Notamacropus eugenii: one gene and its partner. The protein of the gene in region 1 interacts with the protein of each later gene in a biochemical or structural test. Links are inferred from orthologs where the notes say so. Each region holds a gene or a part of one and is shown on either strand. Other genes may lie near its edges.

Evidence for each region.
Region 2: the proteins of NPR2 (region 1) and NPPB form a complex in vitro, tested with the Homo sapiens proteins (3 studies listed by BioGRID). The link is inferred for Notamacropus eugenii from reciprocal best matches to the Homo sapiens genes NPR2 and NPPB.

What each region holds. Positions count from the first base shown.
Region 1 is NC_092872.1:79,358,577-79,365,864, forward strand, and holds the start of NPR2 (atrial natriuretic peptide receptor 2), read left to right. Parts: upstream 1-4,282; 5' UTR 4,283-4,508; intron 4,509-5,035; 5' UTR 5,036-5,086; coding exon 5,087-5,753; intron 5,754-6,696; coding exon 6,697-6,902; intron 6,903-7,288. UniProt on the Homo sapiens protein: Receptor for the C-type natriuretic peptide NPPC/CNP hormone. Has guanylate cyclase activity upon binding of its ligand. May play a role in the regulation of skeletal growth.
Region 2 is NC_092876.1:51,288,090-51,295,252, reverse strand, and holds NPPB (natriuretic peptides B), read left to right. Parts: upstream 1-4,144; 5' UTR 4,145-4,256; coding exon 4,257-4,376; intron 4,377-4,775; coding exon 4,776-5,046; intron 5,047-6,623; coding exon 6,624-6,640; 3' UTR 6,641-6,821; downstream 6,822-7,163.

The sequences.
Region 1 (7,288 bases):
TTGAAAATGCTGAGATATTCTTCATGGCAGAAACAGTTGGTGGCCTCCAAGAGTGGCCTCAGGGTATGTTTAGTTAAATCACCCATAGCTTTTTCACCTTTCGTGTATCTGTCATTTACAGGCTTATAGAAGCCTTTTGTCTATCTTGAATGTTTATGGTTTCATTTTGTACAGCTTCCATAAAGGTACTGGCTATGGCATAAAGAATATTTTATTGTAGTCCGCATTTGTTGAATTGTTTTTTTAGGCCTAGGTGTAGGGGGCGTGGCTGAAATTTGGGTTTGCCTGGTTTCTAGGGATGCTGAAGATGTTCCCGATCACCTCTGCTGACATTTCTCAAACTCCAACACTAGGAGCTGAAAACTGGAGGCCCCACTTCCCTGGAATACCCTTTTGTGAAGCAGGCCTTTCTGAACCCTCAGATAGACCTTTTAGAACACATTACCAGGCAAGTAATTTGGGAGCCAGAGTTTGCTTTTAAAATGTTTTTGAATAATTTTAAATGTTTGGACGATTGTAGAAATTCATTAGCTTAAAAATATGTTAATGCAAGCTAAAATCCCTTAGCATATGGATTAGATTTTACAGATTTGATAAATCAATTCCCACTTTGCTGAGAGGAGGCTGTTTAAAACTAAGGAAATTACTTACACTGAATGCTTCAGTCCGTGTCCACCTTCCTGGTCCAGGGCTTAGTAGCCATTTGTCTTTTGAATTCAATAAAATTATGGCAGTTCTGTTGGCAGGCCCTCAGCCCTAAGGTTTAAATGAAGTTGGTCTGGTCATGGGAGTCTGTCTTACAATATACCTCATCGCCTACAGGGTGACCCTGCCCTTTGGGAATATGTGTGTGTATGTGGGCGTGGGGCACAGTAGTGGCCTCATGGTCTGGGATTATGGGAATCTTTGCCTACCACCCTGGCTCTGGCTAAAAGATGAGATGATCTATGAAAAAAATTTTAAATGAATTCCAACTTATTTTCACAAACCTTTTTGCTTCCTTACCTCTATTCCCTATCTTTTCTCCATATTGAAAAGCATTATTTTGAAATACACCTTATTGGTTTCTCTTATTTCTCAAAGCTCTTCTGTGTCCTTTGTGGCAGGTTCTCTTGGTGTTGTGTCCCATCTGATGTGAAGAAAGAACATCCCAAATGTTCTGATTTGGCATAGACCTGGCAACGTGAGACAGGTGACTGGCATGGGGAGGGAGTACTTATTGCCCTGAAATCTTGGAGGCCCCAGAGGAGGTTATGTTCCTCTTGTCTAAAGCAAACCTGAGAATTCAAAATTCATCTCTGTCTGGGACATTAGGTTAGTTTTAAGATACTTCTGGAGAGTACTGGGGATCAGACTTTGGAGGTCTGGGTTTGGGGTTTACTTTATATTAGTATGAACTTGAACCCTGCTGGTTTTCCTAGAATTCAATTCCTTTGGGTTGTGTCATTCTTGTGGAATTAAGAGTGGTTCCAAACCACACTACCCTCTAGGACCCTGTCTTTCCCTCAGTGTATCTCTGTAACAGACATTCCACATACTTGGATCCAGACCTAGGAATCCAGCCTCTGTCTAGGCTGGACCTTCACAGGGGACTAGAAAGTTAAGGAATATATATGTGGGATAACAGAAGCCACTTGGACCTGTAAGGGTCCTGAAAGCACTCAGGCTTTGCAAAGATTACAGTGAGCTCACCGTATAACTAAAGTTGAATTACCTGAAGCTGGAATTTCAGTCCTCTAGATAGATGATAAGAATAAATTTCAGTGACAGGAATCAGAAGTATAGAAAAGATTTATATCAGGAGCATAAAATAGAATTTGTTCACCAGATTTAAAGCTGTAAGGGACTTTGAAATAATCTAGTCTAATTCCCTCATTTTACAGATGAAGAAATGATTCCAGAGGAGGTTAGTGACCTGTCCATATAGGTTGTTGTTGCTCGTCCTTCGTTCTCAAAGAGGACCCTGGCATCAGGGAGGTGATACCATGACTTATGAGTGAATTGGATTTAAGTGAGGCAGGGCTGTGGAGAGTCACCAGCCTCGCTCTCTCCTCTGGAGCTGTCTGTGGCCAGCGGTCAAATATAAATCAGACCCCTGGTGCAGTGGGCTCCATACATAGCCAAGATGAGATTCTGATTCAAGTTCTCTGACACAAAATGCATTGGTTTTTGTTACATTCAGAAAATTAGCTAACTCCTGTTTCTTCTGGTAGGTTTGTAGGCAGTTATGTGACTCTGGAGTGTCTAGAACCTGTCACTCTTGGCATTAGATTGTACTCTCCTGGATAGCCGGGACTGTTGTTTTGGACAGGTACAATATCTGGCACAAAATGTTGTTTATGAATGCTTAATAAATGTTATTTGCTTAATCTCTGACTATAGTTATGTTTATCTCAATCTGTTTCTTTCCCTCTGGGCTCTCTCCTCCTTTTTCGCTGTCATTCAAGATGAGATGGATTTATTTTTACCTCACTGATTGAGTGCTGATACAGCTCATATGGTTTTGGATTTAGATAACTGTACACCAGATTTGTCATATACCTTTCTTACATTCCCCAGTCCATTGCCTGGTTGGTCGTCAATAAATAACTTAGAATTATTGAATTGAATTTTTCCTGGATTTCCACATTGAAGCCACCAGATGTCGCCTTAATTTCAGAGAAACTGTGTGCTGTCTGCCTGGGAGCTCTCTCCCCAGGGCAGTGACATCTGTTTAACTGTGGCTGGAAGGGGTAAAAATATCAGAGGCAAAAAATCGTAAGATGTGCAACTAGGGCTAGCTGAGGGGCCCTGAGGTTTGGCCTGATTTTGGCCAGTATTCACTTTAGTCGGAAGAAAGTGAGTTTTTCATCTCTAGTTTTTCTCTTCTGAAAAAGGAATTCTTCAAGGTCTCATTTATATTCCCTCCTAGCAGTCATGATGCAATTCATGATATGATAAGCTGTTCTTCAGGGATAGAGCAGGACCCCCAGAAGGGAATTAGACTTACAGGGGGTAAAGAAAGGAGTGGTGGTTCAAAGAGGGAGCACAAAACTGGAAATGAAGACTTTGGGGCCCAGTTCAGCTGTCAAGGACTTGTTGAAGACTTGTTATATTCTATCTTTTACTTAGTTCTGGTTCAACCAAAAGAAATACCTTTCTGGCCTTGGGTTGAACTAAATTTTCATGGTTGTAAGAAAGTCTGCTTAGTCAGCAAAGATAGATTAAGTGCCTGTGCTGCTGAGCACCGTGGGGCAGTGCACCAACCAATCAGCAAGACAAAGGAACAGATACAATATAGTAGTACCTGGAGAGGATCATGTTCAGGGACCATCCAGTGCAATTGGTCGTTTGGCAAATAAAGAAACTGAGGCAGAGGGCGGCTCACTGGCTGGTGGCCAGATAGGTGGTGAGCCCTAGAAGAGGAATATGGCTCTTCCTACCGGCCCACCCTGCCGCTGTACTGCTCCTTTCCCTAGATGAAGTAGTATGGCATGGGTTTGGAAACTGCAAAGACAAGAGAGGAAAGATGGAGCTCACAAGCCTTTGTAGCATAGTAGGGAGATAAGAATCCCACTGAGGTTTGTTGGGAAGCTGAGGGGCCTGTAGGGACCTGGAGATACAGAAAGGAGTGAAAGGGAAGGCCTCGGAAGAGCAGCAGAATATCACCAGAAAGCCTTCTAGGAACGCATGTTACCAGCCAGCCCCTCAAAATAGGGTGTCCTGCAGAAGTAAAACGATGAAGGGTTTAGTGGGCCTTTGGGGTTCTGGGTCGCCTTTTAGAGAAATGGACTTAAAGGGGACTCTGAGCAGACAGACTATTCGGAGGGGGCCCCGGGAAAGTGGGCTCGGGAGAAATGCTTCGGAGAGATTTGGGGGCAGCCAGGCCATTCCGGGTGAGGGGGCCGGACACCCCGTGTGCGGGTCCCCCGTGTGCGGGTGCCCCGAGGGTGCCGGGTCCCCCGAGGGCGGCAGGTCCCCCGTGTGCGGGTCCCCCGAGGGCGGCAGGTCTCCCATGTGTGGGTCCCCCGAGGGTGCCGGGTCCCCCAAGGGTGCCGGGTCCCCCAGGGGCGCCGGGTTCCCCGAGGGCGGCGGGTCCCCCAGGGGCGCCGGGTTCCCCGAGGGCGGCGGGTCCCCCAGGGGTGCCGGGTCTCCCGGGGGCGCCGAGCTGCGGGAGGCCAGCCCCAGTGGGAGGCGGCGGGCGCCGCTTCGGGAGGGTGGGGCCCGAGGGGGAGGAGGAGGGGCTGCCGGGGCGGGGGCGGGGGCAGGGGCCGCGGGAGGGAGGCGCCGGGAGGGGGCGGGCGGCCTGCCCCGGGAGTCGCACTCGGCCGCCACCGGCGCAGCAAGCGGAGACGGGCCCGGGCCGGGCCGGGCGGAGCTGGCCGAGTACACGGGGCCCCGGGGGCCCGGACGGCAGGAAGCGGCGGCCAGCGAAGGCCGGGCCACGGGAGAAGCCGAGCGCCACGGAGCCGAGCCGGGCCACGGGCGGGGCCGCAGCCTGAGACCGGACCAGCGCCCTGGTCCGCTAGGTCAGCCCCCTCGGGAGAAGCCTTTCCCGGAGATTCCCCCTCCGCTTCCTTCCTCCCGGCCCTCCTGCCCCCACATGGACACCCCTGTGCCTCCTCCCTGCCCCTCCCCTTCTCCCCTTCCACCGGGAGGGCGAGCCCCCCGTGCCCCAGCCCCAGCCCCAGGCCCCCAGGCCCAGGCCCCCGCAGCCCTAGCTCTGGCCCCATCTCCACCCCAGACCCCTTTCTGCTCCTGGGCTTCCCTCAGCATTAGACCTCTTTTTCTTCAGCCTCAGGCCCCTCTGATCTCCTCCTTTCGTAGGCCCCCCCATGCCCCTCACCCCAGGCCCTCTATTCCACCATAGCTTCAGGGCATCTCATCCCCAACTCCATCCTTACTTTCCCTCCTGGTCCTTTTCTCTAGCTTCCTATTTCTCTTCTATTTTTGTGCCTAAGCTGTCCCAGCTTCAGTCTCCCCAGCCATCTCCTAGCCCCTACCCTAGCCTTGTTCCTTGAGGTCTCAGGCTGGGGTTTGTGTCTTTCCCTTATAGGCCGAAAGGGACTTCAGAGTTCTGAGGCTGTGGGGCAGTTGCCTTCTCCTCATGGCGCTGCCCCCAATCCTGTTGATGCTGGCAGCTTTGGTGGGTGGGGCACGCCCCCCTGAGCCCCGGAATCTAACCCTGGCAGTGGTGCTACCTGAACACAACTTAAGCTATGCCTGGGCTTGGCCACGGGTGGGCCCTGCTGTGACACTGGCCATGGAAGCCCTGGGGAGAGCATTGCCAGTGGACCTGCACTTTGTCAGCTCTGAGATGGATGGCGCTTGCTCCGAGTACCTGGCGCCTTTGAATGCTGTGGATTTGAAGCTATACAATGACCCTGACCTTCTTCTGGGTCCTGGCTGTGTGTACCCTGCTGCTTCTGTGGCACGTTTTGCCTCACACTGGCGGCTGCCCCTGTTGACTGCAGGTGCTGTGGCCTCAGGCTTTGCGGCCAAGAGTGAGCACTACAGAACACTGGTTCGCACTGGGCCCTCTGCCCCTAAACTGGGCGAGTTTGTGGTGACATTGCATGGGCACTTCAACTGGAGTGCCCGTGCTGCTTTGCTGTATCTGGATGCCCGCACTGATGACCGGCCCCATTATTTCACAATTGAAGGGGTCTTTGAGGCCCTGCAAGGCAACAATCTCAGTGTGCAGCACCAGGTGTATACCCGGGAACCAGGTGGTCCTGAGCAGGCTACACACTTCATCCGGGCCAATGGGCGCAGTGAGTGTAGCTTGGGCTTTCACTTGGGGTTGTATGTAGCTAGAGATAGGCATCTCAGGGGTACGTGGAGGCAAAGTGGAGATTTCAGGAACTTGTTAGTAAAGATTGATACTGAGGAGTCATGTGGACAGCTTTAAGATGGATATGGACAGAAATGGGGTTTGTGAGGGGGAGAAGTGATTATGAAGGGAAGCATCTGGCCATTGTGGTTGGAAGACTAAGGGATATTGTGAAGATGTAAGTAACAGGAGCATGTGGGAATAGTGTGTGAGAGGCTTAGTTGTAGGGAGGAGTGGGGGTATTGAGCTCCATGAGGTTTTGTGGTATTGTCGGAGGTATAGAATGTTGGAAATGAAATTATCCTGTAGTTGTGGATATGATGGTCTAAACTCCAAAGGATACTCCTCCTCTATTTCCAGATGCCTTTTGCTGTATTTAAAATCCTTTTCAAACTAATGTCCTTTGCTTAGGGTGCAATAAGTTGGGTTAAAGTTGAGTGTGTTTGGTTGGCAAAGCCAGTCGGGATTTAAACTTAAAGTTTCTAAGCTCGTGACCCCTAAATTGCACTTTTCCTTCCACCCCTCTTCTCCTTCCCAACCCTCCTCCCATCAGAAGCAGAATGGGGGAACTGAGGAAGTGAAGACTAGGAGGAAGTGGGAATGTGAGAGAGAGGGGCTGGGGATAGGGAGAACATACATCCCTTCCTCCCTCTGGAGGTCAAGCTATGACTTATGCCAGATGTTCCTTATGGCCCCAGGGTACTTTCAACACACTCCTGGGGAAAGAGATGTATGTTCTGGAGACTTAAATGGATTTAGGCTCTCACTTTTCTGCTGAAGGGAATACAGAGAATAGAAAGCTTGCAAGCCCAGGGGAAAGGGCTACTTTGGAGTTGCTGGATGCACTTTCTAAGGGTACTCCATTTTTAAATACCTGCCCTCAGTTGTGTACATTTGTGGCCCCCTGGAGATGCTGCATGAGATCCTGCTTCAGGCCCAGAGAGAAAACCTAACCAACGGAGACTACGTTTTCTTCTACTTGGATGTCTTTGGGGAGAGCCTCCGTGCCAGCCCCACCCGCCTCCGAGGTCGGCCCTGGCAAGACAATCGAACTGGAGAGCAGACCCAGGCCCTCAGGGAGGCCTTTCAGGTAACATGGATGGAAGCTGGAGTAGGGGTAGGTGGAATGTCAGCTGTGGAAAGAGGAAAAGGGAGAGAAGTGTTTCCTGGTAAATTGCTCCCTTCTTCCCCCACCCTATGGCATTCCCAGAGCCAGAGTATGAATTTTATAAAGAAAATGATCCATCCATTTCCTTTAAGTCATTTTCCTGTGACTTTTTATTACTGTGTATGGCAAGGTTCTTAAGATCCTGGCCTGCTCTTTCTTTTGCAACAAATCAAGTTTGTACTGAACACCTACTATGTGCCCAGTTGTGTGTTGGACTTCTGTGGAGAAAATGAAGGGGAAAAAGACACATTCCCTGCCCTTGGGATCTTATTTCCTACTTGGGAAACAAAGTGTACATAGGACAGTTA
Region 2 (7,163 bases), on another chromosome or scaffold:
TCCCTCCATCCCTCTCCATCAGTTTCCCATCAGCAAGGAAAGAAGTATGCCAAATGGTTACAAGACTGGATCATGCAGCCTGCATCTTAAGCCTCTCCTGATCTCTGACTTACTCTAAAAACAGCCTCCCCACTCTGTTTAGAATAAGATGGACCAGTGGAAGATCAGCGACCCTGAAAGACTCATAAAATACTAAGAAATTTTTTAGCAAGAGGATTGAAAACAGGACAAAATCCATCAATAACTCAAGTGAAAGGGAAAGATTGTTGGACTATGTGTGATTCAGAAGATTTGGTGCTGGGAGCTGGAGATACAAAGGGGGAGGGGTGGGGTGGAAAGTCCCTGCTCTTCAGAAGCTTATATTCTGTTGGGGAATGGAAAAGGGATACAATTTATGCAGATTAATTAGTACAAAGTAATTTAATTTTTTTAGAATTAAATTTTAATCATTTAAAAATTTTGAATTCCAAATTCTCATCCTCCCTCTCATCCCTTCCCCACCCATTGAGAAGAGCAACGTGATGTCAATTATACATGTGAAATCATGAAAATACATTTCTATATTAGCCATGTTGCAAGAAAAATAAAGTGAAAAAAATATGCTTCAGTCTATACTCAGGTTTCATCAGTTCTCTCTTTGGAGGTGGATAGCATTTTTCATCACAAGTCCTTCAGAATCATCTTGATTATTATATCGTTAGATCAGAGTAGTTAAATCTTTCACAGTTACCATATTGCTATTACTATGTACAATGTCCTCCCAATTCTGTTCACTTTTCTGTGCATTAGTTCATATAAGTCTTCCCAGGCTTTTCTGAAACCATCACTTTTTATAGCACATAGTATTCTATCACAATCATATACCATAACTTGTTTAGCCATTCCCTAATTGATGGGCATCCCCTCAGTTTCCAATGTTTTGACACCACAAAAAGAGCTGCTATAAAAATTTTTGTACTTACTGACTATAGTCCTTTTCCTACAAAGTAATTTTAGAAGAGAAAATGCTAATAATTCAAGGGATAGTCAGAAAAGACTTTATAAAGGGTATAGCACCTGAACTCATTCATATTTCACCTGTGGCTCTAAGAAACTGGAGCATGCTCAGCAGCCACTCCCCATAAACCATTTTGGCAGACAGGCTATATCAGGTTAAGCGGAACCAACAGGACTCATATCTAATGGTGAGTTAAGGGGATGTCTACCCTAAACATGAGAAGACTTCCTCCCAGTGGAATGGGTGAATGAGAACAACTTGTTCCAATGACCATGAAAGCAGCTGAAGCAGGAGCTGTGGAGTGCTTAGAGCTTGGTCAGACACAGAGTGTCATATACTGCATCCCAGGTCATTGGCAATCATCCAGACTTTTGTCTTTCCATTGGACTATGATGACTCTGAAAGAGAGAGTGAGTGGGGAGTCAAAACATCGCTGTGTGATGTCATTGGTGCTCTTTGAGATAAAGGAAGAACAAGAGCACATGGGCTGAGTTTTGATAGAAGCTTAAGATTCTCAGAAGTAGAGGTGAGGGATGAGGAAATCCCAGGCATGGGGGACAGGTTGTGCAAATGCATGGAAATGGGAGATGGCATACTGAGTTCAAGGAACAGCTAGTAGGACAGTATTGTCCTATATGTAAGTAAAATACATGAAGATTAATGATATGAAATAAATCTTTAAATTTATATGGGAGCCAGATTTTGGAGAGCTTTCCATTCCAATATTAAGAGTTAATACTTTATCCTAGGTAAAATAAGAAGCCACTAGAGATCTTTGGAGGGCACTCTTGCTTAACTGGTAGAAGATGGATAATAATCCTACAAAGCCGACTAAGATGGAGTGGTCAGAAGGATCAGGGCAGAATACTGTCATAGAAGCCAAGGGAATATAGAGTTTCTAGGAGAAGGATATTGTTGACAGTGGCAAAAACTGTGAAGATGTCAATTAGAATGAGGATTGTGAAAAGAGCATTGGATTTAACAGTTAGGAAATCAATGGTAAGCTTCTGCTGTTTTTCCTTCATTCTTGAAAAGGACCATGACATTAGGGAGGTAATGCCTTGCCATGCACGTGAATTGGAGTTAAATGAGGGAGGTCTGTGTGAAGTCGCCAGCTTCACTTTTTTCTCCGGAGCCATCTGGGTCCAGTGGCCAGATAGGGATCAGAACAATTAGAGATGACCCAGGATGCAAAGGGGGACCTCGACTTTTTCAAGCCATTTCCAGGTCTCAGTTTGATTGATCCAATGCCCATTCAGTGATTAAATTTTAATAAGAAATGAAGCAAAGAACAGCCTCTTAAAAAAAGAAAAAGATTTGTGAGGGGAAGACCCTCAATAAGGGATATAAAAACAGAAGTTACCAACAAAATGTTTTTAAAAACTAAATCATTGTTGTCCTCCCAAGGAAGTCAAGTGAGGGGGTTGGACCTCTGGAGTCCTTTGTAATTCTAAATCTTTGAGATTACCAAAGAGGAGAAAAGGGTCTGAACAAGGATTTGAGTGGAATGGTAGTACAGATAGGAGAGATATTTCAGAGGTAGAATTGAGGGAACATGGCAATTTTAGGGGGAATTAGCTTTGTTTTTGCATATTTGTGATGATGGGTTTTTTGTCTTTTCGTTCAATTGGTGAGAGATGGAAGTGGATTGAGAAAAACTGCTTTTTAAAAAGGGAGTCTGGCAACTGATAAATCAAGAAGCATTTATTAAACACCTGCTATAAGCCAGGCACGATGCTAAGAACGGGGATACAGAGAAAGGCAAGAGACAGCCTTTGATCTCAAGGAGTTCACAGTCTAAAAGGGAAGACAATTGCAAACAATTATGTAAAAACTAGATATGTACTGGGTAAACTGAAGATAATTTCAGAGGGAAGACACTAAGGTTAAGGAGGACTGGGAAAAGGGATTAGGGAAAGGAAGTCCTCAGCAATAATTCCAAATCCAGCACTCTTTGCACTCCACCATACGTAGAAAGTATGAGAGTAATTTTATCCCTCATTTTTGTTTTTCAAAATTTCATAGTAATAAATTATATTGCTTAAGGGATGGCGCAACAAGCCGAAGACTATCTATAGGAGTGATATAAAATCAGAATGCAAATTCTGGAAAACTCACATCTGTACCTGTGGGGAGGGGGAGGAGAAATGATCTGGCGCTTGACCATCTTCCTGTCTTCTGGGGCTGCCTGGTACTTGGATTTGTTTGCTACTTAACTAGGCTCCGAAATGTGACACAGTTCAAGGAGGGTTATGTGATGGACCGCCGGCACCATGGACAGCGGCAAAAAATGCCCAATTCCAGAGGGCCATAGTGACTAGATGACCGCAGGACCTACCAGAGGGATTTGAGAGAAAAATCAGTATGGGGGAGGGGTGGGGATACTGAATTCCTGACCAGAGCGGCCACCCCACCCCTTTCCTTGAAGCGGGAAGCTGACTTCATCCTGCAAGGTGTGCATGGAGGGAGGAGGTGACTGGAAAAGAAGATGATGTGAAGAACTTGGCCTGTTCTTGGTCAGCCTCTCCTTTGTCACTTTTCCCTCCCTCCCCGAAGGGTGTTTGCTCCCAGATATCTTCCTTCATCCCATCTCCAGTTAGATTCCTCTCAATTAACTCTTGTAGGACCCTTGAAAGAGGAAACTCCTAGGAGGCTTGGGGTCAGTGGGAGGCGAGGGGTGTGCTGAGCAGGAGAATTGCGTACCCACTTCTTAGTCCCATAGCTGTATTCTCTTCTCCTTCCCCATCCAAGAGAGGAGTCTTCACTGTCAGTTGTGCCAGTGAGTGTTGGGATGGGGTGTCCCCAGGGCTTCCTTGCCCTTGGGAAATTTAGGTGGAAGAGAACAGAAAAGGGAGTGTTTCTCTAGCTCGTTTCTATACAAGGCCATCCCTCTTTCACCAGTCCCTCACTCCCACCCCTTACATTCAGCTGAGACCCGAGTTAGAAAGAAAAGGCGGGGGATCAAGGAAGAGGGGGGCAGTACAGAGACTGTGTGAGACCGCGGGGGCGCATTCTCCGGCTTTGAGCTCAGCGAGGTCGGAATGTGGCTGATAAGTCAGAGATAACCCCGGGACCAGGAAGGGCAGGGGCAAGGCAAGGCAGGGCTCGGCTTCCAGCCACTGGGAATAAATAGCGACTGACCCAGCGAGTAGCCAGATAGAGAAAGCCAGAAGGGCAGAGAGAGGAAAGAAGTAGCATTGTCTGCGGCAGCAGCAGCCCGAGGTTTCTCCTTCGCCCTCCAGTCCCCTCCTTCCAAAACATGGACTCCCAGAAAGCGCTGCCCAGCATCTTTCTGCTCCTGCTCCTTCTGCAGCTCCAGGGCAACTTTTCCCATCCCTTAGACCGACCTCGCCAGGCTCGGGAGCTGACCGGGGTCCAGGTGAGCACAGCACATAGTCTACGGGTCAGCTGGCAAAAGGGAAACCCAAATCTGCCTCCTACTCCCACGCCCTTGCTCCGAGAGTTCTTCAGAACCACTGGGAAGTGATAGGTAGGGGTCTGGGATTGGGAGCACCAAGGGGAACCTCTGGATGTGTATCTCTATTCTCCCTCCTTACTAAGGGATTTCCGAAAGAATCATCAGACTGGCAAAGCCTAGAAGATACCCAAAGGTAGCAGAATGGCCCCTGAGAAGTTCGAGTAACCCTAGATTCTTAAGGTCTTGTTGGCGATGCACTGGGCGCCGGCGGGAGCTTGGGGAGGGGACTAGAAGAGCTGATCTGCAAGGGGGCTCACAATTCTTGCTAATCTGTCTCCTTTACTTCCACCATCCTTCCAGGAACTGCTGTACCGACTAAGGGACAAGATCTCAGCTTTGGAGGAGTTGGAGATGGCGGAGCCTGAGCCGAGGGAGCAAGAAGAGACCCCGGGGGAAGGCTGGGAGAACAGAAAGCCCGAACACCCACTGGTGCCAGAAGGCAGCCGTGTCCATAGGGTCTCCACCTTCCAGGCTCTGCGTGGTCTGCAAAGCCCGAAACTAATGCGAGAATCAGGCTGCTTTGGCAGGAGGCTGGACAGAATTGGCTCTCTCAGCAGCCTGGGGTGCAATGGTAAACACTCCTTTTCCCCTGCCCTGTCTCTTTTCTGGCTTAATATCCCCAGGTGCCCCCTCCCCACCCCCATACAGTCATAGAAGACCTTCTTCTCAAGTAGTCACTCTATCACTTAGACTCCATCTCATCTCCAGATTTAGTGACCAGAGAACAGAATTGGGGATAGAGGAATCCAGTAAAGGAACCAAGGTTACAAAATGCCATTCAGAGACACTTAGCTTGTCTCCCGCCCCCAAGGCTGGAACAAAAGAGAAACAGAGTGAGCTCAGGGGGACTGCGCGGTTCCCTGGGGAACAGCAGAGGCTTGCACAAAGATGCCAAAGAAGCTACATGGAGAGGGGAGGAAGAATCCCACAGATATACTCCTGCAGCCACTTGCTCATTTGGCTGGCTTTTAATTTTTTCTTCTTTTCTTATGATTGATCGACTGGCAAGTTTCCCCCACTTGGAGGGCACAAGCTGAATAGGAAGACATACTAAGGACATAGAACCCTTTGAAAGAGGACTCCTCTGCCCCCAAGAGACCCACATTCTAGTCCTAGGTCTTTCCTGTCCAAATTTAGAAAAGCTCCCTGTCGGTAGCATGGGAGTTGCTGTTGACACAGCAATGCTCCCTTATCATGTGGTTATTTTCTTTTATCTTTGCCTTTTTTATGGACTAGCAGAAAGATCCCTAGATATGCAGTCTGGGGACATGAGTTCAATTCCAGATACCTTCCATTTGTGGCTTTTGGGGAAAATCACTTAATTTTTCTGTGCCTCAGTTTCCTCATCTGAAAAATGAGAGGGTTAGACTCAATGGCCTCTGAGGCCCCTTACATCTTTGGATCCATGATTCCACAATTTGGTCAATGAAACATCCCATGATCCCCCTTGAGTCTTCTCCTTGTTTGTATCTGAGGTCTTCCATTGGCAAGGGCATAGTTCAGCTCTACTAACAGCCCTTGGGGTTAAAAAGGCTGCAATATTCCATTATTTCCATGATTCAACCATCCAAGCTCCAAGTGTCCCAGATGCTAAATGATTGAGTGTTATTCTGTAATGGCAGCCCCTGTGGGGAATAAGGGTTCATTCATTTTCTGCTTCCTAGTAATGCCCCCAAGCTTCTCATAGTTGCAAAGGCAGGAGATGAAATCGTTCAGTTGGATTGTTTTTCCCATTCTGCAATTGAGGAAACAGGCTCAGAGAGATTAAAGGACTAGAATAAGTTTCAGGAGTCAGTGTAGTTTAGAGGCTAGGACAGGAAAAGAAGTAAAGAAGGGGAGAGAGAGGCAAATTTCACTTTAATGCCAGGAAAAACTTGCTAATTATCAGAGCTGTCCTTTGGAAATAATGAGTTCTCCTTTACCAGAGGTCTTTAAGGAAAAGCTTGATAACCCTTTGTGGGGAAATGGTTTTTGCTCTTTTTGAATTACCTGGTCAATGAGGTCTCTTCCTACTCTGAGAATTGATGATCCTATGAGGTGATAAAGTCAAACAAAACCCAGAGAGAAAAAAAAAGAAAAATCGAGATTCTACTTCAGCTCTGAGCCTCCCCAGGAATAACCTTATTTTTCTCTTTTCTCCTCCAACAGTGTCAAGAAGGAACTAAGAAGTCCCAGCCACCTACTCCCTAACATCTAATTCTCACTGAGGCTTTTCCACCCCCTCAAAATGACTCCTATTTATTTGCATTTATTTATTTATTTATTTGGTTGTTTTGTATAAGCTGGTTTCTTACTTTTGAGCATGGAAAATTCATGGTTAAATAAAATCAGCCTGATTTTTTAAAATTTTGGAGCCATTATTCTTGGAACATTAAAAAAAATCCACCTACTTCCCTCTATGTGCCTGTATTTTATGAAAGATGCTGACTTGGATGGGACAAGGAACTTCAGTTTAGTTCATTAAGTGTTTATTAAATGCCCATTAGATGTTAGGTCTTGGGGTTACAAAGACAAAAGTGAAAGATCTGTTCCTCCAGGTGCTCACTTTCCACTGGGGGAAAAACCTATATACAGATAAATACAAAGCATCTGAATGACTGTAGTGGCAATGTGAGGATGCAAACATCCAAGTGTTGGAAGATTTTGGGGAGTCCATATTATAGGAGACTTCTAAATGCCCTGGAATCA